Lytechinus pictus: one gene and its partner. The main gene of each other region encodes a partner of the protein of the gene in region 2 in a complex. Links are inferred from orthologs where the notes say so. Each region holds a gene or a part of one and is shown on either strand. Other genes may lie near its edges.

Region 1 (7,081 bases), on a different chromosome or scaffold from region 2:
AGCAAAAAGAGATGTTTTGGGGTATATTTTCAGTGTTCAAATGGGAGAGTTGTACGTGTGTGACATCACAGATCTTGGTCGCATTGCCAATGGGAGGATCTCCATAGCATTAGTGATCTCGACATTGAAATGCTCACAACTCTGTTATTGCTAGTCCTATTTTACTCAAACTTTTGTTGATCTCATTCTTTGATTTTTCTGCTTTCACAAAAGCTAACTTGCTCCAAGAGTTTCATTCTCCTTTAACCTAAGGTTAAGTTTTTGAAATGTCATCATAACTTAGAAAATATATAGACCTAGTTCATGAAACTTATACATAAGGTTAATCAAGTATCACTGAACATCCTGCATGAGTTTCACGTCACATGACCAAGGTCAAAGGTCATTTAGGGTCAATGAACTTTGGCCGAATTGGGGGTATCTGTTGAATTACCATCATAACTTTGAAAGTTTATGGATCTGATTCATGAAACTTGGACATAATAGTAATCAAGTATTACTGAACATCCTGTGCAAGTTTCAGGTCACATGATCAAGGTCAAAGGTCATTTAGGGTCAATGAACTTTGGCCAAATTGGGGTATTTGTTGAATTACAGCCATAAATTTGAAAGTGTGTCGGTCTAGTTCATAAAACTTGGACATAATAGTAATCAAGTATCACTGAACATCCTGTGCGAGTTTCAGGTCACATGATCAAGGTCAAAGGTCATGTAAGGTCAAAGAACTTTGGCCACGTTGGGGGTATTTGTTGAATTGCCATCATATCTCTATAAGTGTATTGGTCTAGTTCATAAAACGTGGAAATAGAAGTAACCAAGTATCACTGAACATCTTGTGCGAGTTATAGTAGTTTTCAAAATCAGCACTGCTGCTATATTGAATCGCGTGATGCAGGTGAGACGGCCAGAGGCATTCCACTTGTTTCTGGAGAAGTTGATACCACTTTTCATTTTATACTGTATTGAAAATATGTTAGATTATTTTGGAAAATTATAGAAAGATTGGTATTTTATATTTTCAAGATTATTATTTCTATAGATGAAAAACATTAATTATAGGTTATGATCTGCAAAATTCCAGCTATGTTTTGTGTAATCTATAATTTTGTGTTATTGTTCAATTTGTTATTTATCAAAATTATATAAAAAGCATATTCAAAGGAAAAAAATATGCAAATTCTTTATGGATTGAATTCAAGCTTACTATGATTATTTATTTAGAAAGTTTATATCAACAAAGAAAAAAAATCTGAATTTTGAAAAAATGTGATATTCAAAATAGTATTGCATTATTGAATTGAATTGATTTTTTTTTTGTATATATATATATGTACATGTTATTGTGAATAAATGTGAATAAATGCCTCGATTAAGAGGATAAATGAAAAAAATCATATAACTTGACTCTTAAGTAAATTTGATTCTTTTTTCTAAATTAAAAATAGAGATTGAAAAATGAAAAATTTCTTGCCATATTACTTTCCAACAAAAAAACTTTCCACCAAAAATAATCCCAAAATTCAAGTTTTTGAGCGCTCTAGTGAATACAAAAATTATTCCCAAGTTACTAATAAAAAAATAGATTACAACTGTATGGAAATTAGTATTTTTGGTCACAAAAGTGTTATTTTCATGATTTTTTTAAGTGCGTGTTGTGTTCTGCATTGGCATATCATAGTCCTACCTGTAGATTCCCCACAGGCAGGATGGTTGCAGTGAGCAAGTGCCTCAATGCAGCTCCGCAGGGGTAGGCTTGATCATGGGGTTTATTACGTGCCGCCGCGCACAGAAAAATCAAGCCATAGAAGTCGTGTGTTGTGGACGCCAGAAGTGGCGTCGCAGCACACGCGACCCACTAGTTAGAAATCCACTGTGGCTCTTTGTGCGAGGTGACTTACCTTGCACTACATGAACCACGAGATCTAGTGTGAGTGACCTCAACTTGATGTTCGTGTATAGTCGCGTATTGTATTACAGGACACTATCATGATTATGGACGCGCATATTACTGCGTACGAAAACAATTTTGTACTGTAACTATTGCACAGTTCTATTTCACAGAGCAATACATAGAACAAGATTGCAAAAACAAGGCAAAAAAATCCAACTTTTACCTTATTTATCTCTAAAATAAAGTACGGGTTGTGTGGTCCAGTGGTTAGAGCATTGGAGTCATAATCGCAAGGTTGTGAGTTCGAATCCCAACTCTGCCATTGTCTCCACTTTGATAAAAAGGCCCGAGAGTGATATCTGTCGTCTATAACGTCAGCCACTATGACTGATTAACCTAGACGTAAAATGTTTCATAGGTAATTGGTTATATGCCAGCTTGGCGTTTACCAGCAAAATGCTGTCCTGCCGAGTTCCTACGAGAGTTACCACAAACAGAAACAGAAACAGAAAATGACAGAAAATGCTTAAAATATCATATAACATAGTTTTGCATGAACAATTGATATATTTTCTGACGGAAATATGGGCCTGATTTGACGAATTTAAATCTCGTCTGCGCGCCCCTTCGATCGAATGTTGAGGTGTGGTGTATTGTGGGTGATCATCGACGGCTAGCTAGCTAGTTCTCGACTCAAGGTATACCCTTGCGCGAGGTTTACCGTGATAACGTGATAAGAGCCGTCAACGATCGACAGCGCATCGATAGATCTTGATTAGCGTCACGATACGAACAAGCATAGTAGCCATGGAACATGCAGTTAAAAAAGAAAAAAAATAAAATTAGTCAGCAAACCCAAATTTATTACCAATATCTGCTCAGATTCGATGTAAAAAAAGCAAACTAAAAACTTAGAATATACCCATGATATGATATATGAAGAAAAAATTCACACTAATTCTTCCTTACATCATTATAATCAAGAATATCTTTACCCATCCGGCTCGCGTCCGCAATCATGATGTAATTTGTCACATGCGAAAATAATTGTTTTTCGTGGAGGGGTATGAGGCAAGTGCGATGCAAAGAAAATGATTGGTAAATATAAAAATAATTTTATCATATTCATAATTTTCATACTATTTGGAATAGCAAGTGCGAAATTTTCATGATTGTATTTCCTCTAATCTAATTGTCATTTTTAAAGCACTGAAATAAAGGTGTCCGGCAGTAGGATACACTGCCATACTGTAATGTAGGCTCCACTTCACCACCGCTACACCTACCTGTGTAGTGTAGCTGTATTGAAGTGGAGTGGAGTCTGGAGCCTACATGAACATCACTTGAGGTAGATTAAGCCAGTGACAGTGTATGGTATTTTTGGATCGTATTACCAAAAACTTTTCATAAATTCAATCATATCATACTCAATATTTTCTGAAAATGCATCAGACCTCCACCAAAAATAAACAAATACCTACAAATAAAGATGTAATATTTTTGCCAAGATATGTTGCCCTTTTTATCAGCTTCCAATCACTCTCTTTCGAAAAATTTTGGTCACCACTCACCTGAGCTGAGAATGGTATTGTATTGCCATCAACACCAACACCGAACTTGAAATTAGCCAATAGGCTTGACCTTTGACTTGCTTCGTTATGACATAGACCTCTAGCTAGGATGAGCTACATTATGAGGAGCCATTTTGTAGAACAATGTGGAGAAATTATTATTAAACAAATAATAATTATCTTACATTTTAGTTGGTAAATAATCACCATATTTTAATAGTTTATTGTGCAATTTCAAGCATCTCAGCCAGACTGTACACTGGTAGCATCTTAACAGAACGTCGTAAAGGGATATGGGATTTCATTTATTGCTCCAGGCCTCTGGAACTCCTTTCTTCACTCCGTGAAATTGACAACATTGAGCTCTTCAAATTGTCTCTCAAAACTCACTTATTTCAGCAGATGTGTAATAATTAGCTTAATTGGATGAGCCTGCACCTACCTGTTTGAATGCTTTTAAAAGAAATATGGCGCAATATAAATGCGTTGGATCATCATCATCATCTGTCGAGGCTCAGATGGGTTGGAGTTGTGATTCTACCCTGCTTCCACCCTCGCGGTTGGAGGGAAAAAATTTTGCAAAATCCTTCCTGAATAATTCTTCCCATTATATCAATAAGAGCTTCTTGATAAGAAGGGGTAGTTTTTTCACTTTTCTCACTTTGCCGACTTCGTGTAACGCTTTGCATCGATTTTGTAGATGATTTTGGTATCCAATTTCAGAGAATGTCTCCACTTTGGGAGACCATTTTTTTTTGTTTACATTATATGAGGCAGCTCTAGGGATTACCTAGACCAAAAGCTTCTGTCTGTATTATATTGGTTGTTCCGCTGAACTCCGTTGGCTCCACTCACCAATTACAGAGACCGAAGTTCTAACTCGATCTGCACAGGGACTCAATGGCCATATTTTTATGTATTCAGTTCGAATAACCAAGGGAAGTGGAAGTTGCGTGACAGCCGAAGTATTAGTCATTGTTTTTTTTTTCGTTTTAAGTTTATTTTTTCCTGTTTTGGTGCATTTCAGGCCAAAATGGAATAATAATCTTTATTTTGGTCAAGTTCTATTTATATATTTTTATGAAATTAAGACAGAAATTGATGAGCCCCGTTGGAGGGATTTTACATTGTTAACCTTCAAATGGTAGCTGCACGATCGCGAGCCATCTGTGTAGAAATTTAAAAAATAATGAATGTTTTTAAAATCCTCGAAACAGCCGGCTGCCAGCTGTCTAGGGATTGCCTTGCTGGCAAACAAACCTGTGATGTGCAAATTCCTCGTGAAATTTACTCCTCTTCACCATCTACTATAAAATTTACATCAATTTTATTTTACAAACAGTTTTATTTTTATCTGCAATAGATTCTTTACACACAAATTAAATGGGATTTTAATGTCAGCAAGACAAACTTTTGGAAGGGAATAACTGCCTTGTTGGTGTTGTTTCTTTTATCCCCAATAGGACAGATTGTCTCCCATATTGGAGAAAGTCTCCAATATATGCGGTGTGCCTCTAATTTTAGCTGTTTAGAATGTTTTGAAGTCATCTTTGTCTGATATTTGGCACTGTTCAATATTTGTTCACTTTACCTAGGATTTTCCAAAGGGGGAGGGGGACAATTTTTGTTCAGAAAACAATTTAACAAGCCCCCCCAAAAAAAGTTCTGGTTCTGACAAAATTAGGGTTGAAATCAAAGTTTAAATTAAATTTGATAAATCTCATCTTTTGCTGGGGATGAGGCCTAAGTATTATTATTCGTTATGTATAAAAATTCAATTTTACTAGTATTCAGGTGAATGATAATTGAATATCCTTTTTTTTTTCATACTTACAGAGGAAGTGATACGAAAAAGGCTGCTTATTGAAGGAGAGAGTGGAGGTGATGATAGAAGAATCAGTAATCTACTCAAAACCTTTGTGAAATGGTGTCACACGGATCAGAGCAATGAAGAATGGTTAGTTTTCTGTTGATGATTGTGGCATACTGTTCCTTGCAAAATCATTTGAACCCCATAATATATTAAGTAATCTATTCTAACAAAATTTTGGTTTAGTTCTGTATGGAATGAAAGAACCAACTAGATGGTATGTCAACGAGAAATTTATAGCCTCTTATTTAATTAACATTAGGAATCATTTCCATCTTTGCATGAATGGGTATGGTCAATCAAGTGAATAAATGTCATTACTGTACCTTTCTGTGATCACTGAAGCATACCCTGTAATGCTCAAATGATGCTGGCCTGTTCATTCAGGTTTTTTTATTTTTTTTTTATTGAGGACATAAAGCCTTCAATTGATAAAGGATTCATAGTATTTCCTTTTCAATTCATGTCAGAATGAACAAACTCAGTTTAAATGATAAGAAATGTGTATCAAATGAAAAAGGATACTTCATCTATCGAAAATTTGAATGATCAAATCATGATCTTAGAAGGTTGACAAAATAAATGCAAAATATCGTAATGTTGCCACTATTTGTTCATGTATGAATGAAAACAATTCCTAATCGTGATTAAATCAAAGACTATTGCCTTATTATGAATTTATATATAAACTGGGTTCCAAAAGAAACTGATCAAACTTTCAAGGGCACTGCACAAATTATAGCTCCATTGTCAAAATGAACAATATTTTTACACAGGCTAGCTTCAATACTCTAAGCACATGTCAATGATTAAGAGATTGGTTTCAGAATCCAAAGTTACAAAATGGCAAAAGAAAGACCAATAAAAATGAGATGAGATTAACCCTAAAAGGACAGGGAGGGGGGGGGGGGCTATCAGACAATGATTATGCCGAAAATGGCTCATTTTTATACTTCATGTACAAAGTCTATGGGAGATGAAATTCATAAAAGGGTGATTTTTTTTATTCTGATTGATCTGCTTGATTAATTTAGGGTTTAATTTAGTTGTTAAATGGTTTTTAATAATTTCCACTGAAAAAAAAAAAAAAAAAAGGGAAATACTTTAGAAATTCTAAAAACAAAGAGATACATAAGGAAAAATTTGACAGTTGCAATTTTTTGTAGAATCCTTTAGATAAGATTACACAGATGACATCTGGGAACAAAAGAAAATTTGAGGTGAAATTGGATGTTAAATATACAAATAATGTTTTTCATTAATATATATGCATATTTTGTCCATAATAAATAATAAATAATTAATTTTGGAAATTTTGTTTGTACTGGCTTGTAGTTAATGTGGTAAAGAATTTCAGCACAATCACATGAATGGCAGCCAAGATGATACCCCCCCCCCCAGTCCTCAATACATCTCAAATAGCCTACCGTAGTCCTAGGGTTCAACAAACGTCCCTATTTATCACACATGTGCTTCACAGGAATGTTAAAGAGATTGACTTGATCACAAAAAGCTACAGGAAGTTTAAATCAAAATTTTAAATGACTGGAACAATCCAACACACACAGATTCCAAGGGGAAGTCCCGGTAAGCGGGGGATAATCTGATGGTTCCATGACATTTGCTCCGGCAACAATTGCTCCGATTGAAAATCTTCACGTTAAGCCAATTATAAAACTTAATCTCTAAAACTTAATAAACCCACATCCTTATCTTTACATTATTTTGATCCAAAAACCCTATTACAAT
Region 2 (6,937 bases):
AAACATCTTTTTACAAAATGATCGAGGACTAGACTCTAGATCTACTAACAAAGTTAGAGGCTATGGTCCTATTTTCTTGATATGTGAATTCAAAGGGAACGGGTTGAAGGAGTGAATGTCTTTCTAAATTCAATATGTCTATAGCCTAAACGTTATCTAGATTCTAGTTCTTGTCATGCCTGCCGAGATCTTCGGTAGGAATCGAAATTTTAGATAAACTCTCGCCCAAAAGTCTGGCGTGAATTGAATATATGATGGTGGGCCCCAAGTCTGCGCACCTAACAATTTGAGTTAAGATTTAACATGAATTTCTTCTTATTTCACAAAATCTTTTGGTTAATAGTGTTCCTTATATTATTAAGAGTAAGTGTACCAAATTTCTCATTAAAAAATGAAAGAAAATATAAATTTTCTTGAAAAACCTTTGGGCAGTCATTTTCAGATTGAAAAAAAAAATGGTACCCCATGTCTGCGCACTCATTCACTTTGCACACGATTCGGGGATTTTGATGACAAAGGCTGCATTTTGAGGCCGTCACATGAAATGCCCTGAATTCATTATTTTTCCACCGTTTTGAGTCGGATTTTTTTATGAATACCTGTCTATGTAATGCATGTGTAAAGTTCGTGCTCGTTGCGTATCTTCTTTTACTAGAATCGCGCAGATACGCGGGTGCGCAGACTTGGGAGACCGCGCAGACATGGGGGAACTGACCATACGAGGTCTGAAATCGTAGCAGATGGAGATTTACATGTAATATAGCCGCCATATTTAGCTCACGACGATGGAAATAGTTTTGAGTTTTCGCAAGTCGTTTGCTTCCTAATTGTTCACTTTTTATAAACAAAAATTAATTCATGTTATACCCAGACTTCTAAAGATCCCATATAACATCAGATCTTTTGATTTATTTTTGTAAATGAATTAAAATTCAGCGTTAATCTGACAGTACTCACCGAAAATCTTTCAAGGACATAACCTTCTTCTGCCCAGGACCAAAATCCAGTTAAAACCAATTAGGGCAAAACCAATTGAAACCAGTTGGCCAACTGGTTTCAATAGGGAAATTGGAACAACTGGTTCCAATTGAAAACCAGTTGCCAATTGGTTCCAGTTAAAAACCAATTGAAAACCAGTTGCCAATTGGTTCCAGTTAAAACCAATTGGGCAACTGGAACCAGTTGGCAATTGTTGTCAATTGGTTCCAGTTGTTCCAATTTCCCTATTAAAACCAATTGAATCCAATTGGAGGCAACTGGTTTCAATTGGTTCCAGTTGAAACCAATTGGAGGCAACTGGTTTCAACTGGAACCAGTTGAAACCAATTGGTTTCCAACTGGATCCAATTGGAACTTCCAGTTGGAACGAACTTAATTAGTTACAAATTAATTAGCATTTGCAGTAACTATTTCTCATGCCAACACAGAAGCAGTGTTATATGTCTATTAATACCAATGTAAAGGGCATTGATAAAATACAGACTTTCATGTATATATATTTATATGGAAGATCTTCAAATATATGTACTTTTATTTGATGTAATTTGGTAACAGTTAGTGGTGTACTAATTATCCTTTAATCTGTTTTAATTATAATCTATAACATTTATGAACATGGTTTTCACTGCTAAGTATTCTAAATACTAATCTTTAAAAAGTGTGGTACTTGAAATTGTAAAGAATTAAATAGATACATTGTTAATGATGATTAATCTCATAAAACATTAATCTGTGCACACTGGCAAATAATATGCAAATTAACTGGTTTCAATTGGATCCAGTTGGGTAACTGGAAAATTTCCAATTGGAAACCAATTGGAAATAATTTCCAGTTACCCAACTGGTTCCAATTAGAATTCATTTCCAGTTACCCATCTTTCCAGTTAGAAGTCATCTCAGTTACCCAATTGGTACCAGTTAGGATTTCCAGTTACACAACTGAATGGTTCAAGTTAGGATTTCCAGTTACCCAACTGGTTCCAGTTAGAAATCATTTCCAGTTGGAAGTCATTTCCAGTTACCCAACTGGTTCCAGTTAGGATTTCCAGTTGCCCAACTGGTTCCAGTTGGGATTTCCAGTTACTCAACTGGTTCCAGTAAGAAATCATTTCCAATTGGAAGTCATTTCCAGTTACCCAACTGGTTCCAGTTGGGATTTCCAGTTACTCAACTGGTTCCAATTAGAAATCATTTCCAGTTGGAAGTCATTTCCAGTTACCCAACTGGTTCCAGTTAGGATTTCCAGTTGCCCAACTGGTTCCAGTTAGAAATCATTTCCAATTGGAAGTCATTTCCAGTTACCCAACTGGTTCCAGTTAGGATTTCCAGTTGCCCAACTGGTTCCAGTTGGGATTTCCAGTTACTCAACTGGTTCCAGTAAGAAATCATTTCCAATTGGAAGTCATTTCCAGTTACCCAACTGGTTCCAGTTAGGATTTCCAGTTGCCCAACTGGTTCCAGTTGGGATTTCCAGTTACTCAACTGGTTCCAGTTAGAAATCATTCCCAATTGGAAGTCATTTCCAGTTACCCAACTGGTTCCAGTTAGGATTTCCAGTTGCCCAACTGGTTTCAATTGGTTTCAACTGGAAATTGTTAAATTCCAGTTAAAACCAATTGAAACCAGTTGAAACCAATTGAAACCAATTGAAACCAGTTGGAAATCCAACTGGTTTCAATTGGATTTTGGTCCTGGGTGTGCGGGTGACGTCACCTTTTAGATAGGGGTCAAATTATGACGTACGAATTTCAATAGAAAAATACATTATTCATGAGGTAATGTCCAATCAAATCACAGTATCTTGCGAGTACGCAAACAAAAAATAAATGATTCATTAGCAATATGCAAATGGGGGCTTAGGATTCGGTTCAAATGTCTCCCAGGAGGTGTGGCCGAAAGTGGTAAAAAATACGCTTATCACCATGGAGCTTCTATGGAGTATCTGTACGTTATATGCAAATGTTATTTAAATTAGGCTTTTCCGCGGGTGCTACCTTTCCGTCTATACGTATTTATTAGTCTATGATGCATACCTATGGAACGTACTTGCAGCTAGCCCGGCGGCACGGGCGCCGGGTGCGCTATAGCGCAGAGGCGATGGTCGGACAGCGCTCTGCGGCCGCTTTTCACCAAATTGCGGCGAACGGAACGGCGTAATGGAAAGTATGTGAAGCCTTGGAGCGGATTCCTTTCTTCTTTTTTCTCGATAAGAAGAAAATGCTATGCCTTGGAGCGGCTTTCTTTGTTCTTTTTCTCAATAAGACAAAAATGCTATGCCTTGGAACGGAAATTTGAGTGTAAAAATGGGGGTCCCCTCCGCGGCACATACCCACTATGCATCATATACTGATCGAGTGCCCCCCCCCCCCCGGGCAGCAGGCAAAGGGGGTATAATTTGTTGTTGGTGTGACCTCTCTTAAATTACCATATGCATGGGAACGTTTGGTGATTTTCCCTTTTCTGATAACACAGTCTTCCCCCATATCCTTTCTGTGTTTCAACGCCTTACGAAAATTTTGATGAGCCGAGTCTCTCTCTGCAGGGATACGATCTGGGTCAACATATACTGTCTTATAGTCTGCATGTCTTCTAAGTTTCCTTGTCTTAGATAGTATTACTGACCTTTGAACATCTAATTCCAAGCAGCAATTGAGGTTTGGATTTGATCGAAGCAAATCCTTTGAACTTGCAAAGTTAAAGGTGTTGTGATAAATTAATTATCAATCGTGACCAGTTTTTGGTTGTAAAGCAAATTTCATAAATACTAGTAATTAAATTGAACTTGAATGCATATGGGTGAACATGAGTATTAATTTTTAGTGCAGTAGTTTGACTTAATCATGTGGGTGCTCAGCAATGTGTTCATGAGAGTCAGGAGAATAGGGATGAGATAGTGGAGAGATCAGTGGGTGCATGAGATATATGGCCCTCTACGTTTGTTTCTTTTCATTCCTCATGAAAAGGAAAGCAAGACTTGAAAAATGTCGGTGCCCACTGTGAAAAAAAGAAGAATTGTATCAAAAACTGATGATGATCAAAGTAGTAGTTCATCACCGAAGAGAGACTCTAAAAAGCCAGTACTTATCAAAGTCAAAAGGGTACGTATTCTGTATTGTAACACAATTCACTGATGCAGATGAGCTCCGTCGGCGGCGAAATTCGTCTCGACTCAATAAAGCTCGATAACTTCGACCGAGGAGATGGCTTTGCGTGCGATTTATCTTGCACGCAATTGAACAGGTGATAACACGTTTCTGTGATAATCCTCTGAGTAAATTGATTTGTCTGGAAGCGTTTTGGCAAATAAAGATAATTTCATTTACTGTAATAAATCCGCAAACTGTTTAAGCTTTCCATTGGCAATCAAAGGCATAGAATATTAAATGAATCTGTGAGTAGGGTGTCTGAAGCCACACTGAAAAGTGTCGGCATAAAACGGGCTGATTTAGGGGAAAATGTGGCACATTTTTTCGGGGAAGTTCAGGCTACTAGAAAAATGTGAAAGAGAAAATTCAGGGGCTTCTTTTGACAGTAAGGACAAGTTTATATGATCATTTTAAATAAGGATTTAGGCCTAGAGATAAATTGCAAACCCTTATTTTTGTGTGTGTTGAGATTGCCATTTCCCCATGCGTTTTCTATGGGAAAATGAAATTTCTGGTTTGCACAATTTTTTTCACTTTGTCGCAAGTTTTCATTGTGATCTGGTTTCCAAATTTTTATAAAAATCATACCATCAGATAGAGCATAAAAAATCCTATTGAGTATTGGACTCTTTATGGACAAGTTTTTGGCATTAATAATAAATTTATAACAGCTCTCGGAAGCTAAAAATTTGGATTTGTGTGTGTCCATTTTTTAACTACACAGTCTATGGCAGAGAAATGCTGAAAATTGACCTAATTTCATTCTTCTAGGCCTAGATCTATTCTATATCAGGCCAAGTAAAAAAAGAAAGTTGATCGTCCTCGTGTGCATCTATTTTGGCCGCCGCATGAAATTTTTTACTTATTTCAAAAATTGGCTAAAAAATATAAAAAAGTGATGTTTCTCGTCCGCGCCCGCTTCCCTTTTTTGATTGCCGCATCAATTTTCTTGATATTTACTATTAAGCGAAAAAAAAAAAAAAAAAATGGGCGAGTGATTTGCTCTCATGTGCTCTGGGATCTATCTCGCAACTTCCTAAAACAATTGCAAAGTCTGATATCGCCGTATCTGCGATAAAGAAAACAATTTCTGATTTGTTTGTTTTTTTATTGATAATTTTGAAGATTCAATCATGAATTAGCGAGAAAATAAAGTTTGCAAACCCAGAAAAATCACAGATTTCTTCATTTTAGTGCATTTTCGGGGACCCCGCTTCCTGAATCTGAAATAATCCGTTGTGTGCTTTGGAAATATGGCGCAGATAAATCATTGTTAATGATGTAATTTGTATTTCAGCGGGGGTTATGTTGGCACTCGACAGGTGAATGAACTTTGCTAGTTTTCTTGTATGGAGAAATCTGTATTAAAAATAGACAATTCCTGTATCTGTATTCTGTAAACGGATGATCCTCATTTACAGACCGGTACCCCCTTAGACTTGAAAGTCTAATTGTTTCATGAAGCTGTCTTTGCCAGGAAGGCCCGAGATCAGGGAAAACATCCTGACTAAATTATGACACCTATGAATAACGCTGTCATAATTTTTTTCTGTCATGACGCAGTTAAATTGCAGTACCATCACATGGATACATATACACCAAGAGGAGGCGGTGTAGCTCAGTGGTTTAGAGTGCCTGTTTCGGATAAAATCATAGATCTCAACGTGATGGGCTCAAGTCCCGCTCAGGCTGAAACACACCTAACAAAAAACAACGGATACTAGAGGGTTGCAGTACTAGGAAAATGTTGGTCCTGTGTAGAGGAGAGTCACAACTTATGCATATTAAAATCAGTACACTTTTCATCAAAGAGTAGGAAGTTCACCCAGTATATTGCAAATGTCAGCCCCGGCAAACCTCAATAGTACTATAATACACCAAAGGAGCATTAGCAGAAACAAGTGTTTTGAACCCCTTTTTAAATGTCTCTTCATCTTTAATATATTTCTGTCCAATTTCTTGTAAATATGATGATTTTAAATACGTGGGAGAGTTGATCATTCATGGCTATTTAGATTTCAAGAAGTTATTATTATCTGGATATTTCACATGTTTAAGAAAGGTGCTGATAGACTGAAATCGAACACAGATCACTGATACTAGGGATGATTTTTCAAATGGGAGAGAGTCCATACTGTGTTAATACCAAATACCAGGGTCCCGTAACACAAAGGTTAGCAATTAATCGTACGATTGATTGTACATTGTAGTCAATGCAATCAATCGTAGAAAATTGTTCTACGATCATTGCTAAGCTTTGTGTTACAGGCCCCAGAAGGCGAAGATGATCCCAATCATGTCTCTTCTCCCTTTACTGCTTTCCTTAGGAGCACTCTCCATACGATGAAGAGAAGGAAGTAGGTGCCCGAGACATGGAGAAAGATCTTCAGCTTCACAATGAGACGTCAATGAAGCTGAGGAGTTTGATGGCTGATATCCATGCCCACAAATCTCAGGAGCCATCCGGAACTATGAAGGTAGTAATTAATGAAGATGATGTACATGTAATGTAATGAAGACAATCCTTAAAGTATAATTTGCCCAATACTGTGTGTGTCTGTCTGTCTATAGATCTGTCTGTCTGGCATGTTATGTTTAATGTGCTTCACTCCGTAATCAGCCACCATGGTCCTGTAACACAAGGTTAGCAACTAATCATACACTTGATTTCTATGATTAATTCTACATTGTAGTCAATCCAATCAATCGTATAACAGTGATCTACAATGATTGCTAACCTTTGTGTTCAGGGTCCCAGAATCACTTTGGATTTTCGCTTATTTGTCTATTCC

What was found. The genes of interacting proteins can lie anywhere in the genome.
Region 1: the proteins of THO complex subunit 5 homolog A-like (region 2) and THO complex subunit 7 homolog are in contact, whole or in part, in a cryo-EM structure (PDB 7APK), measured with the Homo sapiens proteins. The link is inferred for Lytechinus pictus from reciprocal best matches to the Homo sapiens genes THOC5 and THOC7. Residues at the interface, in NP_001002877.1 of Homo sapiens: Pro48, Asp51, Tyr52, Tyr55, Cys59, Leu62, Gln63, Met66, Ala67, Gln70, Phe95, Lys99, Leu101, Asn102, Ala105, His106, Arg108, Leu109, Gly112, Arg113, Gln115, Thr116, Ala119, Lys120, Val123, Tyr126, His127, Leu130, Leu133, Glu136; in NP_079351.2 of Homo sapiens: Ala21, Asp23, Ile27, Leu30, Val31, Phe34, Tyr50, Met53, Leu54, Leu57, Cys60, Glu61, Met64, Gly65, Thr67, Leu68, Val70, Tyr71, Asn74, Met78, Tyr81, Ile84, Tyr85, Ile88, Glu89, Ser91, Ile92, Ala95, His96, Lys98.

The regions. Positions count from the first base shown.
Region 1 is NC_087247.1:45,236,384-45,243,464, reverse strand, and holds the start of THO complex subunit 7 homolog, read left to right. Parts: upstream 1-3,973; 5' UTR 3,974-5,419; intron 5,420-7,081. UniProt on the Homo sapiens protein: Component of the THO subcomplex of the TREX complex which is thought to couple mRNA transcription, processing and nuclear export, and which specifically associates with spliced mRNA and not with unspliced pre-mRNA.
Region 2 is NC_087246.1:18,993,168-19,000,104, reverse strand, and holds the start of THO complex subunit 5 homolog A-like, read left to right. Parts: upstream 1-3,854; 5' UTR 3,855-3,980; coding exon 3,981-4,097; intron 4,098-6,472; coding exon 6,473-6,622; intron 6,623-6,937. UniProt on the Homo sapiens protein: Component of the THO subcomplex of the TREX complex which is thought to couple mRNA transcription, processing and nuclear export, and which specifically associates with spliced mRNA and not with unspliced pre-mRNA.